Linked DNA regions of Struthio camelus. The protein of the gene in region 2 purifies or fractionates together with the protein of the main gene of each other region. This does not show direct contact. Links are inferred from orthologs where the notes say so. Each region holds a gene or a part of one and is shown on either strand. Other genes may lie near its edges. The genes, in order: RCL1 and BMS1.

Evidence for each region.
Region 1: the proteins of BMS1 (region 2) and RCL1 purify together in Homo sapiens (co-immunoprecipitation; 4 studies listed by BioGRID and IntAct, with this or other methods). This does not show direct contact. The link is inferred for Struthio camelus from reciprocal best matches to the Homo sapiens genes BMS1 and RCL1.

Annotation. Positions count from the first base shown.
Region 1 is NC_090982.1:18,267,561-18,278,254, reverse strand, and holds the start of RCL1 (RNA 3'-terminal phosphate cyclase-like protein), read right to left. Parts: upstream 5,172-10,694; 5' UTR 5,130-5,171; coding exon 4,994-5,129; intron 1,890-4,993; exon of another isoform or gene 1,878-1,889; coding exon of another isoform or gene 1,853-1,877; intron 1,766-1,852; coding exon 1,694-1,765; intron 976-1,693; coding exon 800-975; intron 1-799. UniProt on the Homo sapiens protein: As part of the small subunit (SSU) processome, it plays a role in 40S-ribosomal-subunit biogenesis in the early pre-rRNA processing steps at sites A0, A1 and A2 that are required for proper maturation of the 18S RNA.
Region 2 is NC_090948.1:30,463,852-30,474,667, forward strand, and holds the start of BMS1 (ribosome biogenesis protein BMS1 homolog), read left to right. Parts: upstream 1-5,542; 5' UTR 5,543-5,689; coding exon 5,690-5,865; intron 5,866-6,189; coding exon 6,190-6,380; intron 6,381-7,187; coding exon 7,188-7,267; intron 7,268-8,794; coding exon 8,795-8,983; intron 8,984-9,432; coding exon 9,433-9,575; intron 9,576-10,816. UniProt on the Homo sapiens protein: GTPase required for the synthesis of 40S ribosomal subunits and for processing of pre-ribosomal RNA (pre-rRNA) at sites A0, A1, and A2.

The DNA.
Region 1 (10,694 bases), on a different chromosome or scaffold from region 2:
CAGAGCTGCTCTCCAAGAGCCATTACTTTAAAGGAAAAAAAAAGCAAGCAATCCCTAACCATAACTTTAGAGTTTTAACCCTATGTTACCCATAGCTCATTTTTGTAACAAGACTGTCAAGATGAAAGATTTTAAATCATCGCTAACATAATTCAAGGCAAACATAGCTAATTTCATAGAGTCATTTCATCTATCATGCATTTCAGCTTCCTTACGAAAGAGACAGTCTTCCTTCTGCGAGCTGCTTGTAACCAGAAAGCAGCTAAATAAATTACAGGCAGGACTTCTGCTACCGTAATTTCATTATTGGCGTGTGACCTTTATCTGTAACAGAAGGCCTCATGGTAGCACAGGTATGACTACGCCTGGCATCTACAGTAAGGAAGGATTCCTTCCTTGCTGCGCTGCATTTTATAGACAATTTCCTCTTTTTACAGTAAATAAACGTGTGCAATGGGGGAATAATACATCTAAATTTTAAGAGAACAGGAGAAGCAAACCTATGGCAGGGCTTCACATCACATTCAGAGGGAGCTTCCACTGAAGAAAGGAGAAGCTGCCCAGAAATGAACGTCCAAACATGGATTACAAACTACAGTTTGGAGTACGAAGCAGAAAGTGGACAGACCAGAAGATGCTTGTTTGATTCAGAGAGCTTGCTGGCTCATACAATAATACTAGATACTGCTGGTTGTGAGAAATTACAAAATGCAATAGGATTTGGAGACTTTCTTTTTTCGATTGAGATGAAGAAGGAAAAAAATCCTCTTTAGCCACTTAATAAATTTTCATTACTTACCGAAGGATCTACTTGATCATTTGTTACTCCCCTCAGGACAATCTTTAATGGGTGTTTCATGAAAGGTGCTAGACAGAGCAGACTTTCCAAATAATAGCCAATACTGCGACTGGGGCTGCAGTCATGTTCCAGGGAACCTCCATACAAAAGACCAGGCTGATAATACAAGGTTGTACCTGGGGGAAGACATCGTATCAGAGTGTTGTCAGCGCACCAGCCACGACTACAGCGTAAAGATACTTTGCAGTGATGAGTACCAGCAAACTGGAGACAAAAGAACATATGAGGCAGGTAGCGCTTCCAGCACACTTCTTCCATGTCAAGAATCCTTTAATCATGACAAAAAATGCTTACGGAGGCCACTGTCATACTTCCACAGCAGCCGAACCTTTACCAGAGCAGGTCATTGCCATCCCAGCGCACCTAGTGGTAGGTTATCTGCTCTACTGACCCTATGAAACTCTTAGAAGTCCCTGTAACATTATACAAGAGAACAAAAACCCGTTGAGATATCTCCGTCGGAAGCTTCTCCGTCCAGCTAACTCCTCTTTCGAGCATGACTAGGCAAGTACAAACCTTGCCTTCTACAAAAACCCCTTCTGGTTCAGAGGAATCTTCCTCCACTAGGAAATCCTGCATATCAAACAGAACAGAAAATTTAAAGTCTCGAGCAACGCGTTTTCCTTGACTCGCTGCATTATGGTGGAACATGCTCTTCTTGCCTGTGATCTACCGCTACAGAACTTCTCAGCCTGATTATGTCTGGTCTGCTTGGTCTTTCGTACCAAGCTATCTAACATACTCAGCCCTGGCAAGCCAAAACTTTTCTTTTACTGCAGCACATGATAGAGTCTGGTAGACCAGCACAGAGGAAGACGAGAAGAAAGCTCTCACCTGTTTGGTTTATTTCAATCCTAGAGCCATTGGTCACTTTGTCAATGAGGCGAATAAAACTTGCTTCAAAATCTGAGGAGGCAAAAAAAAAAGAATTTTAAAGTTTCTTAAACATGTTCCTGAAAACAATAAGAAACTTCAACACATAACATACCATACCTATACGTTTTCCCTTTCCGGCCATCCATGACACTCTCTGGAAGACAGTAAGACTACCCTCACTCTTCTGATTGTTGCAGTGCAATTCTGCCACATGGAAAAGGGCACTTGACTATAAATGCAGAGGCCTAAATTTGAGTCTCATGGGCCTCTCAAATCAGTGCAGGTGCACCCAGATGTGACCATGGGATGAGCCATGTCGCTCTCCCCTGCTTACAGCGAGGTATGGGAGCTGGCACATCTGATCACAGTGGTCTGAGGGGTCACTGGTGCCCAGCATAAAGCCTTTTTAGTTAGTAGAAAGGTCACCTTTGCACATATGCACAAATTCTAGCAAACAGGACCCTGTTCATTTAGGCCTGAGAAGCTTCCCATTATTTTTTGTAGAAGTCTTATTTGAAAAGAAGCTGACCTTCAGATGTAAAGTATACAGCTGTTCCAAAAACACCGTCATGATATCTGTCCACAGACTTTTGACTTTTCCCAAACCATTAATGACGCAATAAAGGCTAGAGAAATACAAGTCTTCCCGTTACCTCTCTTTCGTCTTAGAATGTGCATTGTAGCACCTTGTACGAAACTAAATACTGAGTTTCTCCTGCTTGTGCAGGATCTCTCTCAGAGCCACGGGAAAGAAACAAGCATGAAAAAAGGAATGTTAGTATTCTAGTATTTAGGTATCCTAAGTTGGCAGACCCTCACTATCAAGGAAAATACAGTTTAAATATAACTCAAAAATCAGTTAATTTTAAGAGCCACCAGCACCTGCGTAATTGTGAATTGGTTGTACAACTTCATTAGCAGTAATGCTACAGTAGTCCTTAACCAGCTATCAGATTTTTATTCCTATGTATGCTTCTAGGATGCAATAAACATTTAAACCAATGAGCTATTTGCAGGAATTACAGTTTGTTAATCAAGCCTAGTATGCTTGATGACGCAGACACACAGCACTGGTTCTGCTCTCTGCCCTGAGAATTTGTACGCTCAGCTTTACATGATAGTTCTGAAATCACTTCCAGGAAGGAAGCACATCCTCATGAATAGCTGCTACCCTCTTCAGGGACAAACTGATATAAAAGTTTTCCTTGCAAAGGCTCTAGCTATGAAAAGCAGAGAGCGCTGCATGTTTAATAAACTTCTTTCCTGTGAGGGCGACGGAGCATTGGAACAGGTTGCCCAGAGAGGTTGTGGAGTCTCCTTCGCTGGAGATATTCAAAACCTGCCTGGGCATGATCCTGCACAATGTGCTCTGGAGGACCCTGCTTCAGTAGGGGGGTTGGACTAGATGATCTCCAGAGGTCCCTTCCAACCTCAACCGTTCTGCGATTCTGTGAGTCTGTAATATCAACACTAATTAGGGTTTGTTATTGTGCTTTTTCTGCTACAGTCACAGTTTGTATTTTAACCCATGCTCGGAAAATATAACTCACCTATTTAAAAAAATAGCAAAAACTACCTTCATCACAAGCAAACACTCCATGGTAGTAATAAATACTTGGGGTCTTGGTAAATGTTAAGTACATAAGAGTGTTTTGAAAGTTTAACAGGAAAACTTCTGGCTACGAACTGAAGCCTTCTCAGGAGTACCTGTGCAGGTGCTAGGCCTGTTCTCCACTTTGCAGCTTGCCCAAAAAAGAACTAAGTGATGTATCTGAGATAGCTGGCCCTCCTGACTGCCACTGTCATGGCCGTAGGAATGACTAGATATTACTTATTACCAACTGCAGAAGTATTGTAACGTGTTACCTTTACTCCTATTTGGCCATAGAACAGATAAAAGTCAAGGAATAAACTCCGATCCAGTAAAATTGCTGGAACTTTGGCTCCAACAAAGAGACAGAAAGAAAGCCGTTGGGTACAGGGCAACCACGGACGGCTGCAGGGCCAGCAAGTCCTGCAGCTTTTGAGCAGAGAGCCCACTTTTATACAGAAACTGTCCCGTGCTGGAGCTGGCCATGTAGTCCATGTGCAGTCCAGTGGCTCAGGCTCACCCTCGGGATCTCCCCCTGTCGCCCTGCCTGCAATGCCCGATGCCTCACTGCAAGGAAAACCAGCTGGAGTGGCCTGGGAGCACAGAGCCAGCCCTCTGCAGAAGTGCTCAGCGGGGCAGGGAAGCCAGAATTACCCAGTTACCTGATGCAGTCTGCCCCACAAACAAGGCAGGCCTGTGAGTGGGCAAACGCAGCCGCACGGGAAGGTCCAGAGGCTTTCGAGGCCACGTCCAATCCCACCACCGCCGGCACACATGACTAAAGCTGCCCACAAGGCGTTCGCCTCCCCAGCCACCCGCTCGCTCTGCCTTGGTCTCTGCCACCATCCCCGGGGCGTCCGGGCCCCTTCGCCGCACATCCCCAGGCCCCACACGCTCCGCACTGCTCCCTCCTGCGGGCAGGAGACCCCTCGGCCGCTGCCGGCTCCATCCCCGTCGCTACGGAGGAAAAGCGGAGGGAATCTCGCGCCCCAGGCACAGCCCCTGGAAATTTTGCCACCAGCACTCTGCCCCGCTCAACCGCACTGTCCTGGCCCCAGATAATCTGTTTGTCCCTGGATACCCCGGTTGCCCTCACACCCCCTGGATACTCCACTTATCCTCACACCCCCAGATACTCTGGTTGCCCTCACACCCCCTGGACACCCCAGTTATCCTTGTACCCCTGGATATCCCAGTTACTCTTGCACCCCCTGGATACCCCCGTTACCCTCGCACCCCCAGATACCCCTGCTACCCTCGCACCCCCTGGATACCCCCGTTACCCTCGCACCCCCAGGACACCCCCGTTACCCTCGCACCCCCGGACACTCCCGTTACCCTCGCACCCCCAGGACACCCCCGTTACCCTCGCACCCCCAGGACACCCCGGCTCGTCCTCCCGCCCGGGTGGGGGTTTCGGGGAGAGCAGGGCGCTGTGCCCGCGGCCGTTCCCCGCACGGTGCCCGCACCCCTTCCCCGCCGCGGGCTGGCTCGTCCCCGGTGCCTCCTCGCCGCCGCCGCTGCCGCCGCCGCGCCGGGCAAGCACGACCAGGCGGCCGGGCCGCTGCTGCGGCGCTGCGCTGCACTGCCCTGCCGTGCCCGGCCCCTCCGCCCGCCTGCCCGCCCCGGCGCCGCTGCCGGCGCCGCTGCCGGTACCGGCCGCTCACCGCGGAGGCCGGGGTCCTCCTCCTTGGCGCGGATCTTGCGGATCTTCAGCGGCCGCCCGCTCAGCGTGGACAGCACCAGGCGCTGCCGCAGGAAGTTGCAGCCCGCGTAGCTGAGGCACTGCGAGCGGCCCGACATGCCGCCCCCGCCGCCCGCTCCCCCTGCGCTGCGCTCCCCCTGCGCTGGCCGTCCCGCTCCTGCCGCCGCCGCCGCCGCCGCCCGCCGAGCCCACGTGGTTGGGAACAGGAAGCGCCGCGCGCGACAGCGCGGGGGTCACAGGGCGAGGGGGCGGGGCGGGGCGGCGGCGGCCGTTGGGCGGCGGCGGCCGTTGGGCGGCGGCGGCCGTTGGGCGGCGGCGGCCGTTGGGCGGCGGCGGCCGTTGGGCGGCGGCGGCCGTTGGGCGGCGGCGGCCGTTGCCGCCGCCCCGCCGGAGTCAGTCCGTAAAGCGTGAGCGGCGTTGTTTCCCCCGGGGTGGTTTCCTGGCGAGAGTAGTAAAAGCGAAGGTAGGAGCCGTCGGAATAACCTGTTAAATCGCAGTCAGCTCCAGCTGGGGAGCGGCAGTTTGGCAGTGAGGAGGGAGCTGTGTGCGCCACCTCTGCGGCTGTGCCGGCGGGGCTGCGCGCTGCTGGTGCGCCGGCTTCTCCTGGCAAGCACGGCTTTGCCAGCGTAGGGAGTTTGCCACAGTAATAAATTGCGATTCCTGCGTGAAGCGCTGTTATCGGAGGCACAGCTTAAGCGATATTTAAGTAGTAGTTATTGCCTCTTTGAGCGTTTGTGCTGTATATGCTTATTTTTTGCTGGAGGTTGGAGTTTATCTAACTGTTACGTGGCTCTATGTTTTATCCGTGCTGTTATGCCGTGCTTTATTTCTGAACAATTCAACTTCTCTGGGACATTTGAGTCCTCTGTTTTTTGACAGGTGAATAATTAAATCCTGGAATGAAATGTGGTACGAGATCAGGATACTCTCCCTAGAGAAGACTAAATTAATCTATCTTTCTTCAGACAATTCTTTTCGGTAGTTTATCCCTGGCTGCCTTGTTCAGATGAAATATTGTACTGGTTAAAGGAAAATTAAGCAGAGATGCCAGCTTCATGCTCCACACTTGGAGGAATTTGGTCTGATTTCTGATCTTCTGCCCAAGCTGTTCCCTCAACTGTAGCGGCACAACCCAACGTCCCTTACGTAAGAGGCCGAGGGAGGCTTTCAGTCTGTTTCAAGAGGTACATGAATTACAGTAGACGTAACAGGGTTAATGGCTAGACTGTGTTATGTACACAGGGAAAGAAGTTTCTTGTTTTATAAAAGAGAAGAAAAGGGGTGAGAGTGATCCCCACTGAATTGTGTCGACGAATACACTCCATTTCGTTTCTCTCGTGCTTTATAGCACGCATCTGTAGCTGCATCTTTGTAGCTTTCTTTTCATTATGAATGGAGTGTTTGCTGATGTCTCATGTCACATCTCATCCTTGGTTAAATACAATCTGTATGCTGCTGTGGACGACAGATTGTTGTCAGGGAGCTGGAAGAGCTGGGCTGCTCCTCAAGGGAGAGTGAACCCGGGGCTGAGGGTGACTACAGCACAGGGGGGGCACAGACCAGGGTGCAGTTCCACAGCACCTGAACATGGTGGGCAGAGCAGGATGCTTGTGATAGGGTCCATTGACAGTCGCGCTCAAGGGAAAATTATCTGTCAGGTCCAGGATCCATCCAGTGAGTCCTGTCAGGCACAGCGGGCAGTGGAGCGAGGAACAATGCTATGATACAAGTCTGAGGTGTCCATCCAGGAGCCAGGACTAGAGACAAGCTACCTACAACAAGGGGTCCATCTAAGAGACAGGACTGGAGGCAGATGTGTATCTGTGGCTTATGACATAGGCCTGAGGCCCACCCCGGAGGTGGGACTGGAGATAGGTACACCTACAGCATAGCTCAAGCAAGGACTGAAGGCCCAGACCTGAGCTTAAAGAGAGTTTCCTCAGCCCATGGACAGAGTACGTGGGTGAAGGTCCCAGGTGAGGTTGGCGAGGGCCATTGAGGCCTGCTGGTGCACTTAAGGCCCTGACAGTCATCTTGAGTGCATCATCTCTGATGCAAAACAATGACAATCATCTCTAATGCAAGAAACACTGGCTTCTTGTTCTCAGTGACACTCTCTGCAATTAGAGCAAAAAAATTCATCCCTAATCATATGAACTGATACAGTGTATTCATCCAGAGTTACAAGGGAATGGAGAGGTCCACCATTTTTTTATTTCTACTGTACACAGCACTCCTGTTCCTCATTCTCTCCTGTATTCTCTGTAAAGCTATCCTTCTGCAGAAAAATCCTGTTGAATGTAAGATATTTCTATAAAATGTAGACATGTTCTAGATAGAGCATAAGTTACATCTATGCCTTAAGATCCTCTAGGATTATACAGCAACTCAGAAGATATACTCAGGGAGGAAGACATCAAAAGGGGCTTTAAACCTCTTAATACTACTTGGGTATTTGGCTGAACGTAAGGTGAAGCAGCCGCTGTTGTGAACTAAAGCAGCTCTGTGTGTTCAGTATCCCTGTAGCACAGAACAAAAGAGGAGCTCAGCCTTTTCTTGATGCTCTTACTGTGAAGGACCACATGCTGTGAGAGCACACAGGCCGGAAGAGAAAAGGACTGATATTTTCCATAAAACCTGATAACACTTTTTCTGAATAGGTTGTTTCCCAGAGACTGAATTTTTTTTTTTTCCGTGACAGGGACTCTTCGCAGCAACTATGACTAGACATCCTCTTGTTAGCTGCTGACTGGCAAAGCTTTTCTGATTAGTGTTGATAGGAATCATTAGTATATTGGAGAAACCAACCTCCAAACTACCTCTAGTGTAATATTTGTTACAATTTGGCTAATACGATCCTCAGAAGATAATCTTTGTCTTTACTAGCAGCCATGGAAACTGCATTGCAACTTCTGTGGAAGCAGTGCAAATACACCCCCACACATCTACATTTATTTTTTCCTGCTTTCTTTCAGATTGCAGGTAAAATATGCCTCTGAATCACAGCAAAAATGGTCAGTGATGAGCTAGTCACAGTTTTGCTTGTCCCTGAGCTGCTATGGTGGATGAGAGTGCAGGAAAAGTTTAACATTTGATTTCTGTGGTGTTAATCTTTCCTTCTGTCCTTTATGTTGACTCCAGCTAAGAACCACTTTTCACCTGCTTAGTCACACATTCATTATTGTAGTAAGGAGCATTGCAAGATTACAGTCACCAGGACATCATAGTAGACACTCAGCAAGGCCTTTTATCCGTCTTACAAAGGTCTTTTTGAAATAAAATCAATTCTATATGTGTGCAGACTTTTTAGCAGTGAGAATCCACATCAGATAATTGGTGCTAACTCATGAGAGGCTCACGAGCTATTCGCATCCCCTTTGATACGCTTATCTCCACAAGAACTGTGAAGAAAAGTTGCTGCTGTTCTTTTTTCTTTTTTCTTTATATATTTTTTAATGAACTGGAGTCTTATCTTGCAGTAGCTCCTCCTTAGTAACCTGAGGTGAGGAAGCAACCAACTGAAATTCCTTGGCTGAGCAAGGGAAATAATACAATATTACAGAAGTGTCGAGTCTTTCTGTGTTATGTTATTATTTCTATTACTGGCACTTTTAAGCCTTAACCAAGATCTGATTGTGACTGTGCTATGTGCACTAGCTTTTCTCCTCTGAAATTCCAGCAGAGAGACATGATGAAAGAAAAATTTGAGAAGCACTTAACCGACATCAGCACCAGAGCTACTAGAAGTCAGATCTTATAACTGTCAGGTCAGCGCACGTGGTGAGTCAGTACAGCATTTCCAGTCAGACAAGGAGGATCCAAAGGAGGGCTGGATCTATTTAGAAGGGGGTGGGGTATGTGTCATGGGGACAACTAAAGAAAGGCGCAACAGGGAGGAGTGGGTGGGTCTTTCAAGGATTAGCTAGGATAGCAACGTGGAACTTACCTGAGCAGAACAGGCTGAAGACTGGGGAGAGTGGTAGCGGGTTCAATTCCCTTAATGGAACTGGCTTTGTGAAGTTCTTAAGAGGTGATGGGGAGGCTCCCTGGCCATCTGTGAGCAGACTGTAAGCAATGTAGGGAAAAGGTCCCTCTTTTCTTTAGAAGAAAGAGTAACTCCCTAGCTGGAAGCAGGGAAGTGAGAATAGGAAGTTCCTGCTGAGAAAGCCTGTTGGACCAAAAGCAAGAGGTGGAAGGTGCGACTATCAGGGTGTATATGGTCTCAATGCGCTGTCTGTAAGGCTATGGAAGGCTAACAGTGCTGTGCATAATAAAGAAATATTATAATAAAGGATTATTAGGTAATAAAGGAATGTCTCTGCCTACATTCTGAAGAACTGGTAGAGGGCTTTCATTTTCCCCCTATCCCCAAATCTGTAGGGGCATGACTAGACCTAAAGGAACACAACTGATGTAGCTGTCAGTCAAAACATCAGAAAACCTCCTTCTTGCCTTACGTTTTACCTCAAAGAAACTGCTATGCTTTACCCATGCAAACATGGGATGATGGTGCATACGTAACTGGTAAAGAAGCCTTTGGTAAACTTGAGTTTACTGAAATAAGGGGACTCTCCTGCAAAATCAGTATAATAACCCCAGCTATGGCTGGACAGAGAACTTCTTGTGTACAGTGTTAATGGGCAACAGTATTCAAGAGCTCAGTCTTTCAGGTGTTAGAGCAGCTGCTTGTTTGAATCAAATACATATGATGGATTTGGAATGGGAATCTTTATGGGGAGGCAAGTCGAGCCTTGAAGCAAAGTTAATCTTCCAATGTATCATGTAAAACTACCAAAAAAAAGTTGATAGAGCCATTCATAACTGAAAAGGTCTCGCCCGTGAACCTTGTTAATTGGGACGTAGTAACTTCACTTAAAAATTGGAATGTACCGTGTGGTAAGGTCGAGACAGTTCAGGAGTCCTTATGCGTAGGGATTCTCAGTAACAATATACTGTCTACTTGGTTTATCTCATCTCCAATTCGTTTTGCCTCTGATGACTTCCTACTTAAAGCAACTTTAAACAGCTCTCTTCGCTGTTGATTAGTTTAATTAACTGCTGTAGTTCACCCTCAAGGTAAATGTTTCGCAAACTACCAACAGGAATACTAATAAATGCCAGCTTTGGCTCTTTTTGACGAAACATCTGTCCCAAATTTTGTGCCCTGTGTGTACATAGTCACACAATTCTCTTCGTAAGGCTGTTTGCTCTAATATCACAAACAGGGCGGGGGGAACACCTTTTTCTGACTGCATTACAAGTTATACAGGGATGGTGATGTGAAGCACATGATAACAACTAACTGGCAGGAGAAAATAACTTTTCCTACAGCTCAAATGTGACACTAGATTTGCAATGTTTGCTCATCTCTGTGAATGAAGCCTTTTTAGAGCTGAAGATACAAAGCGATACACCTTCTTTTGGTAAGCTTAGGAGTCAACCTAGATTGTAAAGTGCAATATTTTGGACCAGCTGAGAACAGAAAGGGCGAGGTTAGGAAGACTGCCATTTGAGCTTTTTTCATACTTGGAGCCATGCTATAAGCCAAATTGTACTGAAATACATTATTTTTTAAATACGCAGTCTGTCACAGGGCTGCATTCCAGTTGGCAGCTGCACAGTGAGCGTATGACACAACCATGAAAGCTTGTGGGTCTGATATT
Region 2 (10,816 bases):
AGCAGCCCCCTATCCCTTCGCTGTTGAGGGATCTCCACGCGCTCAAGGGAGCCTGGCCTATTTGGAGCAATCCCATGGGGAGGCCAGATTGCCTTTACTGTTGGAAAGCATGGGGAGCCCTTTCCGAAGGCCGAGCTGAAGCGCAGAGATAACTCCGTTCAATTATCGACTCTCGATTAGACTGAAAGGAGCCTCCCGATGGGTTTGCGGTGGCGCTGGGGGAATAGGGGGCTGCAGGCGCTGGGCGACACGGCGGCTCCGCGGCGGGGCGCGACCGCGCTGTGTTTGGTGATGGGAGGACAATGGAGGTGGGGGCACCTCTGAGTCACCGCCGGCGGCCGCCGGCCCGGCCCGGCCCGGCCCGACCCGGCCCGGCCCGGCCCTGCCCTGCCCGCCGGGTGGGGGTCGCCGCCACCGAGGCCTCATAAGGCGGCAGCGGCCGGGCCGGCCCCGCCGCCGCCCGCCGAGCCGCCGCATGGAGCCCGCCGGCCGCCAGCGCAGCCCCGCTGCCGGTGGCGGTGCCGCTGCCGGTGGCGGCCCCAGCCCGCCGCCCCGGGGGCCGCCCAGCCCCGCCGGCGCCCCGCGGCCCGCGGCGCAGGGGCCCCAGCCCCGCGCGGAGCCGGCCGGGCGCGGCCGCGGCGCCTCGACGCCGCCGCCCGCCGCCGCCGCCGCCCCCTCGCCGCCCGCGCTGCCCGGCGAGGCCCCGCGGCGCCCCGGCGCCCCGCGGGAGGGCGGCCGGCGGAAGCGCACCACCTTCAGCAAGGCGCAGCTGGAGCTGCTGGTGAAGACCTTCGAGGAGGACCCCTACCCCGGCATCGCCGTGCGGGAGCGCCTCTCCGGCCTCACCGACATCCCCGAGTCCAGGATACAGGTCGGCGGCGGGAGGGAAGGGGCGAGCCGGGCCCGGGGCCGGGGCCGGGGCCGCGGCCGTCGAGGGTGGCCTCGCCGCAGCCGGCAGAGCGGCGCGGCGCGGCGGCCCGCCGGTGTCGCTGGGGGCACCGGGGACTGCTTGCGCTCTCACTGGCGATGCTGCGAGTGGCTAACGGCGAGGGGCCCCTTCGGGCGGTCGCCGCTGCTCATTGCCGTCTGCTCCCTCTCCCCAGGTGTGGTTTCAGAACAGGCGAGCCCGGCAGCTGAACCACAAGAAGAGCGAAGCCTCCCCCTACGCCAGACCTGTGGGTGGCAAGCAGAAGCTGACCCACTTCGGTGGCGGCTGCCGAGAAGGGCCCCGAGTGGCGCACGGTCTCGGGCCAGATCCGAGCCCCTTCGGCCTGCAGCCCGGTCTACCCGGGGGAAGTCAGAACTTCTCTGGTCAGCCGCTACCCTATGCGGGGCCGCAGTACGCAAGGCTCGATACTCATTTCAAGAGCTTGGATAACGCATTTGGAGGCCACAGTCAGACCCCTTCTCACTTCGATTTGGACCACATGGCAAAAGGGGTCCAATTCAGTGTGGGAACCATAGGGAGTTCTGCCCAGCTCTCGCTCCCTGTGCAGCAAGTGCAGGAATATCCATACCTGAAGAAATCTTTCCCTGAAAACTACTACACAGAGGCAGATATTTTCCAGTCATGTATAGAAGATCACCAGTACCTGGCAGCAAAAGAGAACATGTGTGGGAGGCCTGTTTTAAACTACTTAAATGCTAATCAAGGCCTGGGCGATGAGAACTATTTGTATATCAAGTCAAACACCTCTCCTTCGGGTAAGGGTTTCATTTCAGATTATGGTGAAGGAGCATCTAATGTGAAGCTTGAGCTTGAGCAGAGGAGGCACAGTCCATCCCTGGTTGCAGGTCATGATGCTAGTCCCCCTTCGGTACTTGCAAAACATGAGGGGAGATATCAAGGGACGCTTTCTCCTCCAGCCCCGTCATTTGGGCAGCAGCTGCTGGAGGCAGTAAATGACTATGACCCTTATTGGCTGGGCATGAGAAATGAAATTTGGGGAACTGGTTTAGATTCGGTGTTTGAGAATGAGCAAAATGGAGAGCAAGGTGGGCCAAAAAGTTACCTTTTTACTTTTGATGGCTACAGTTCAACCTGTCATTTGGGTCACACATGAAACGGTGACAGAGTCTGTTGGCCTGATGAAAACTTAATGTTTTTTGTTTGATTGGCAGTTTCATCCAAAGCAGCTAGAGGTTTTGCAGGTCCAAGTAGGGAATACTTGCTGTGTATTTTGTGTGCTGTCAGGAAGGGAAGGGAAGGAAGATAAGCAAACTTTGCGAGGCACACAAGCGAATAACCTGCTCTGTGCGTGTGCATCGTTCTTCCTTCCCCCCCCCCCCCCACCCTTCCCAAACCTACCTCAGTTGTCACCAAGCTGCATACAGTGTTCCTGCGTGCGTTTGATTGTTGGTACCCACACATTGACCTGTACAGCTCAGCTTGCATATTGTTCACAAACGTTTCAATAGTGAAGATTTAGTCTTTGATGTTCAAACTGGATTGGATTCATTCTGCCAGGAGGCTGGGGACTACAGAATGGGTTTTATGGCCTTACTGTACTGGTTTTCTGTTTCCATCCTGGTCAGAATTCACTTTAACATCGTGGTCAGAATTCACTTGAAGAAATCTGTAGAAAACAGATGTTATATTTACAGCTTTTGGTGGAGAAATTCTAACATGAAAGGGATACAGACATGGGAAAAGCATCCTTGGTGGTGGAAGGGGATGGGTCACAGGGTGTGTTAGTGTTTTAGGTGTGCTCCTGATTAAGTGCACTGCTGATCTTATAGTGTTTTTATTTAAAAATGACCAAATACGTAGCCTTTTGAAAGGCAATATTTTTGTAGTTTCCTTTTTGTATAATTTTTTCCGATTTTCTGATTGTATTAATATTTTAAATGAATTGTGTTAATTTAATAAGAAACCCTCCAGACAAGTTACTATTTACCTGAAGGAGGTTTTCTACCTGTGTGTGATAAGAACTTGTAGAATTTGACTCACAGAAAAATGTAATTGAGTCCTGTCCTTGTACTTCAGATGTTGGGCCTATTTTTAGACTTCTCAAGATCACTGGCTGTCTGGAAGCCCAACATGATCATATAGTGCTTCAACAAAGGAAGGCTGGGGGGGGGGATGTATAGATCGGGAGGGCTGCCATGACTGTGTATTAAAGCAATATTGGGGCTAGCATATTGAAGACTGTATGCAAATCCTTTCTTGTGCTCAAAGTGTGGCTCCGGATTAATTTAAGTAAGCCTTGATTTTAAGATGAATGCTATTAACCTAATTATTATGCTTCTTTTGTTCTATAAACAAAATCAAATGTAAATACAGACCATTATTTTATTAATAAAATTGATGTGTCTCTGAAGAAGCTGTCCATTGATGTGTATATAAGAAGCCAAGAGTATTAGTTGTTATCTTGTCCGTAATTTTTAGCTGTGGCTGGGAACAAATCACTCAACTTTTCAGCCCAGCTTCTTCATGTTTGATAACGTAGAGTTGGAAGGAGGTTTTTCTCTCATGTTATTATGGAAGATCCATCAGACAGGCTTCTCTGAGAGTTAAGTACAAGGTAATGTCTGTATTTCTGGTTGTATATATGACTGCCTTAGTAAATTCTTTAAAACTGTGTTATTAAGATTGACTTTTTTTTTTTTATATATGCCCTCTCCCTCGTTAAGATCTCCTTACTGGCAAGTGAGAATTGTTCCCAGGCACAAAGAACAATTGTACCCGAGAAAGATAACTGACAGAAAGTAGTGTTTGAGAGTGTGTAGCAGGGTAACAGCCTTACTTTATGAGATAGGGTTGAGTTAGTTAAAGAAGAAGAGAAAACGGACATCCAAAAGAATAGCACTCCCACTAAACAAACAAGGATGGGGGCCCCTGGTTCCTCCCTGGAATCAGCAGCGGGGTGGGAGGCAGCAACTGGGTCTTCTCGGAGTATCCTCCCCACTTATCTCAGTGCCTGATAACCAGCTCCCTCCCTCTTGATGATGCTCTGCAGGTAAATATTTGGGAGGTCACTGACAGAAATTGGCCTAAGCGAGCTGGGTCTCATGCAGTGCAGTGCATCCTGCTCTGTTTCCCCCGCTCTTTGTCTGCAGACGTCCTACTCTGTCAACACTCCCAAACCTGCGCCAAGGCCAAGACAAAGGTAGCTCAGTTAGGCATTTCGCATTAAGCTGTTGCTACTGGCTGCTGCAGTAGTACAGGGCTTTCCCACCCCTTCATGTGGTCTAGGGAAGAAACTTCACTTACTATCAAACTCGCGTTTCTAACGGTGAAGTGGAACGCACTGTGAATACTTCCCAGAAGCAAGTCCATGACAAATCATTCTCCCCTTGGAGAACTACTTACTGCACAGCATGGAGCTTTTCTGTAAGGAACTGAATGTCTTTATTTTGTTGCAAGTCGCTTTTAACTGACCTATCTAGCATATATAGCGCACAAATAAGAAAATACGTGCAGTGCAGCTAGATGCAGTGCTCTCCTGTGACAACTCTTTTAAAATTTCACATTCTTAAAAAATACTCATTAGTCTGAGAATGCCAGAGTACAGGTGACATGTTTATTCATCATGTTTATTCATGCATGTCAAAAGCAGTGCTGCTCTGGCATGAACAAATTATGCTGAGGAAGAAGAGGTGAGGCAGTAACCAGGTGTGTTGAGTGGTGTGACCTTCTGCTGCCCCTAGGATGGCTTTTGTTATAGGGGAGAGTTTTGCACGCTGAATATTTAAAGCTGTGTTGTCTTTCACGTAACTTGTCAAAAAAGAGGGAGCGTGGCGTTCCAGATACGCTAACTCGCTTTGTATTCCACCAGGCCCTAGCCCATTGTTAGGCCTCTGAGTCACTTATTCCCTTACTTTGTTGGGGCCTATAAAGCGCATTCCCGCCCCGAAACGTCCTCCCGCAGGGGGAACGGCGGCGGGGGCCGGCAGCCCCCGCGACGACGGGGGCAGCCCCGGCGCCCACCTCGCTGCCGCCCGCCCGGGGCTCCCCTGCCGGCCTCGGGAGCTGCCCGGCCCCGGCCCAGGGCAAACGGCCTCCTTGGCGTGGTGGAGCAGGGCCTGGACCTACAAATAACGTCAGGGGGACTGGCGTCAAGGCGCAGCAGGCACCGGCCCGAGATCAACAACCGCTCCTCGCTTTGCCCGAAGTGACTCCCGCACGCCCGGTCACCTCTCGGGGGCGGGGGGTGGCCCTGGCAGCGGGGAAAAAGACGACCGCTGTGTGGCGGGAGCCCGTAGCACTAAGCACCCTCCCTAGCCTCGGCATCCGCCCGCCCCCGTGGCCCTTGCCGACGGTTCCCGTTTTTAGCAAAAACCCGCGGGCAGCCCCCGGGGCGCTGCCCGGCCGCCCACCCTCCGCCAGGCCTGGCGGCGGCCAACCCGCCCCTCGCCCCGCTTCCGCCCCTCCGAAAACCGCCCCGTCCCCGCGCCCCGCGGCGGAAACACCCGGCCGCCGCCGCCGCGCCCGGCGGGACCCAGGGCACCGGCCGCCCCTCCCAAGGGGGCGCCCCCCCCCCCCGCCCCCCGGCAGCCCGCAGCCCGCTCCGCCCCCGGAACTCGAGGCGCCGCCGCTGTTTCCGGGCGGGCGCCGGCGGCGTGCGTGCCCGGCCGGCGGCCTTTCCGCTCCCCCCGGTCACCGTGCGGGGCCCTGGGCGGCGGCGGCGGCGGCGGCTCGGGAGGGCGGGCGGGCGGGCGGGCAGCGGGGGACCCTGGCGTTGGGGCGATGGAGGAGAAGGAGAAGAAGAGGCACCGGGCCAAGCAGAGCGGCCCCAAGGCCGAGAAGAAGCGGAGGCGTCATCTCAGCGCGGTGGGGGCCGGCGAGGAGCAGGATGCGCGGAGGAGGAACCCCAAGGCCTTCGCGGTGCAGTCCGCGGTGCGCAGGGCCCGCGCCTTTCACCGGTGAGACGGCGCGGAGGGGCGGCGGCGGCTTCCCTCTCTTGCCCTGGGTAGGGGCAGAGGCGGCGCGGCCTTCCCGGGGGGTGGGGGCGGCCCCGGCCCCGGTCCCGGTCGCGGTCCCGGTCCCGGTCGCGGCCGCCTGGGCCGGCGCCCCGGGGGGAGCTCGGGGGCCGCAGCTGGCCGGCCCCTCTGTAGCCCCTCCGCCTCGATAGGCGTCCCGCGTGTACGCAAGGTCTTGGGGAGTTTTTACCACAAGACCCTGCAGACAGCGGGCGCTGTTGGTTTCCAAGCTCCTCTTATGTTTATTTGTTACGCGTTTCTCCCCAGAACCCAGGATTTGAAGACGAAGAAGCATCACATTCCGGTGGTTGACCGCGCGCCTTTGGAGCCGCCTCCCGTGGTGGTGGTGGTGGTTGGCCCGCCGAAGGTTGGGAAGAGCACTTTAATAAGATGTCTCATTAGGAACTTCACAAGGCAAAAGCTGGTTGAAATCCGGGGTCCTGTGACAATTGTTTCAGGTAAGAACAAAGATAGCAGCAACGGAAACGCTGGCTTTGTACTCCTTCTTTGTCTTTTAGAGCTTGACAAAGAAGGGGAGTTTGTTCTTAGGACGTGGTCACGTTCCCGACGACTTTCAGTTCACGTGATTGTGTTATCAGACGTACATGCTAATGGCAAAAGAATAATGAGATCTGGGTTTTGGGGCACGTGCCCCTCTGTACTTGTTCCTTCTACCCTTTTGGGATCCCGGTTCTGTTTTTTTTCGTTTGTTTGTTTTTATTTTTTCTTCCTGGCTGCTTGTCCACTTTCTTCATTCCAGATTTTTTGCAGGTTTTCCTTTTCTACTGGTTCTATTTTCCCTTCTATTTCCCTTTGATATTGGAATCCACTCTTTTTTGAAGGCTAGAACAGGACGGGATATTTCATAATCCTTTTCAAACGGACAGACGTGTTTGGTAAGATGAAATCCATGGTACTAACTCTGGGGCACTAAAGATAAAAGAAGAGGTGACCAGAAGTTTTCTTTAAGTAAGAAACTTTTTTTTTGTTGTTGTTAACTGTGTTTTTGGAAAAGGCAGAGCATCTTCTTTGAAAAGATGAGGTCCACTTGATAATTTGAACTAAAAGGTTAAAATTTAGCAGAATTATAAACAGTAGAAAAAGGCACTTCTGCAATGGCAGGTGTTTGGCAATTTGACTAGACAAGAAGCCGAGTCTCAGGTAGTTTTTAGGAACTTCAGGAGTTCGACCTGAAAAAAAAAAAGTGAACTACTTAGTTTGCTTCCTCTGTTTCAGTTTTTGCTTTTTCTTAATTTTGTTTTCAGGTAAAAAGCGCAGACTAACTATTATTGAATGTGGATGTGACATTAACACAATGATTGACCTGGCTAAAGTTGCTGATTTGGTAGGTAACCAATAGCACATGATTTCTAGTATAATTTATATTGAAAATAGTTCTTTTTGACTAGGCTATGTATGACTAGACATAGGTGACTAGGCACCTACCTCTGATCTCTCCACCCATTGCCATCAGAGGCAAAACAGTCGTCGGTTTCAGAGGGAACAAAAGTAAGCTTGACAACAAACCTGATTTTCTGTAGCAACACAAGTAACTCATAGGCCCTGCTTTTTTGGTTTTGTTTATTTGTTTTTATGGTTTTTTTTTTTAATTGAGGGGAGGATGGGGTAGAAGAGAAACGCATCTAAACTTTATTGCTAATACAACTTGTTAAAAGATCTTCCGTTAAAAGATGACAAGCCAAGATGATAAAGTGGCTGTTCATTAAGCAGTGTGGTCAAATCATGTGAAGTCTGAAAACGTTTTTAATTCAAGAGGTTTTCAACTAAAGTATAAAATGAAAGTATGTGTATATATATATATATATATATATATATGCTTCTGTAGTTGATTTTTCTTTGATGTGCTCCAGGTCTATCTTTGTGTATTAATATGACTGATTTCAGTGGAGTGTGGTCATTCTTTTATTTTACTCATGGCTTTTAGTTCAGTGACTCAAGCCTACTGATCTTGAGGACCCAATGCACAATCCATTTGTCTACTCAAATTTCTACTTTATATGTGGATTTAGAGCCTGTTTTTGTTCAGAGCTGATTAGGTCTTGGGCTCCTTAGCTAAACGTTAACTAAAATGCATCAGCTGATTCAGATATTTTTCTCCTTATGTTTTCTACTTGAGGGAGTGATATGTATTAAACACGCAAAACTTTTACTAAATAGGTGTGGCAGATGTTTAGGATTCTGAACGCACATGATTGTGCTGAGAATCTTGCTTGGTTTTATTGTTATGAGGCTGAGATTACATAATTGCCTGCGGATCATTGTTTTTGGTCCTATGCATTTTAGGATCATAGGATACTATTTCCCCATGCCAGTCTCTTTTAGTGATGCATAACAGTAGTCGCAGTGTGTGAAGAAAGTTTATTTGTCTCACTTTACCAGAAGACTGTTGTAGAGGCATTAGTGCACCTAAAGTAAAGTTATCCAAAATGGTGGGATTTTTACTAATTTACTATGACATTGCTACAAATATTGGAAGATGCTCAATTTTTGCATATTCTGAATTCACCAAGTAAACATTATTCACCACCCTATTATGATACTATATATTACTGTATTCATAGAGGAGATTTATTTTTATTCTTTAGTTTTTCTGGAAGGAATAAGCAAATCAAAACTACATAAAGGAGATTTGATTGGAAGAAGAGACTTGATTTTTTTCTAAGCCCTGCTAGCTTTTAAGGCAGCTAAGATGCACATTTTAATTTAAAAGCCAGGTTATATGAAAATAAAGAACAGAACCGCATGCAATATTTTGGTGCCCAAGTTTATGACTTAAAAAGCTTGATCTTTGAAATTAGCTCATGCAGGCATCATGGTCTTGTTAAAGTAAATGCTGATGTTATGCTTTCAGGTTTTAATGCTCATTGATGCCAGCTTTGGATTTGAGATGGAAACATTTGAATTCCTGAACATTTGTCAGGTGCACGGCTTTCCCAAAATCATGGGAGTTCTTACCCACCTGGATACGTTCAAGAACAACAAGCAATTAAAGAAGACAAAAAAGAAGTTAAAACACAGATTCTGGACTGAAGTATATCCGGTATGACATTCGACGGATGTTTTATGTATATTTTGCAGTATGGAAATTAACTGGAAAGTAGGGAAATACTTAAATATTTAAATTTATTATATTCTTATACCTTTTAATAATACTATAAGCGGACAATTCTGATGTTATCAGGCTAAACAAGTGATGCTAGAAAAAATGTTTGTTACTTGCAGGTATTATGCAAGGAAGATCAGCATCTAGGTCTGGAAAACAGGTTAACCTTTTGTACGAGGTTTTGGCTGTGAATTGTTTTCCCTAACAATTTGGGGGCAATGTTCATTTTAAGGTAAATTAATTAGTTTCCATCTTCTAGAACCAATTGTTAACTTACGACTTGCAATTATGATATCCAAATTAGAATTGTTTTTGTTTTGTTTCAATTTTATCGTTATTTAGTTTATGTTTAATGTTAATTTTTTATGTATTTTTAATATGTTTAGGGTGCTAAGCTATTTTACCTGTCTGGGATGGTTCATGGAGAATATCAAAAGCAGGAAGTTCACAATTTAGGGCGTTTTATCTCGGTTATGAAATTCCGACCTCTTACGTGGCAAACTTCTCACCCGTATGTTCTTGCAGATAGGTACGTGCTTTTCTTTTTTCCGCAATCTCAGTAAGGCAGCACCTTATTGGTTTTATTAACATACTTCTTTAAACAATCAGCTCTGTGTGTGTAATGATTATTTAATTTTATCTAAGATACTGTGACTATGTTCTACTATATACCTAGATGGTTTTGAGGAAATGAAGGCGTACTTTGCAGGTCTGTGCCAATAACTTTGGCTGTTCAATTTCTACTTGCATCAGATTGTACACATAGACCTTTGCTGTACTGTAAAACCTTTTGAAGCACAGAAAAAAACATTTTAAATAATCCTGCTTGTTGATGATGTTGAATTTCTCTGGAAAAGAATTATTAAATTGAATTGTAGCAGTTTAACAACAGCTGGTGAACTAGTCCTCTGTGTTCCCTGCAGTGTCTCTTCTGCTCAATCCCCATGCGTAGTGTTTGATTCAAGGTCTCTGTTTGGAATGTGAAAGTACACTTGAAGGTAGACTTGGCTGTGTCTACCCAAGAAATTACTTCTCCCTTCACGTTTCCTTGCCAGAATGCTTACGTGTATGACTAAAGTCTCACAGGAATTCAAGGTGCCTGGAACGCGTTTCTTTCAAAGCTCTAAATCTTTTAAAAAAAAAAAAAAAATTGGTGGAGAAGTAGATAAGCATCACGCAAAGTCCCATAATAGGCATGAAGCAAAGAAAGGAGCAAAGGGGGAAAAAATATTCAGTTGTCTTTCAATAATAGTTGTTTTAAGTTACTATAGCTGTTACAATTCTTTTGGTCTTTAGGCCAGTTAAGCCAAGGTAAGTGCAGGCTACATCCAGAACGTGTCCCCGTCCTCGGCTGCTCACCATGTGCAGGCACGATCACTGGTGCAGTGCACAGAGGAGCTCTGGAAGGAGTTTTGATCTCATCTGGCTGAAAACTGCCAGTCTTCCCCTCTCTTCTTCCTGCCAGTTTTTTTTATAGTTCACTGCTATTATAAGGGAAAAGAAGGTACTGCATGGCTGAGGGGATTGTGTCTTGGCCATCGCTGCTACTTACCGTGTTTTCAAGTGTGCCCAAGCTTAGAATGTTTGTTCTGTTTTTCCTCTAATGGTAAAATTAATTTGAGGAGGGGTGTGTGTGCAAAGACTACAGATAATGAAAATGTGCTAAGAAGTGCGTGTTTAGTGAAATGTCAGTAAGACACCTAGAAATATGTTGTTGAACATGATTATATAAGTTTTAAAATACAATTTTTTTTTACAAAGTTCTTTTAA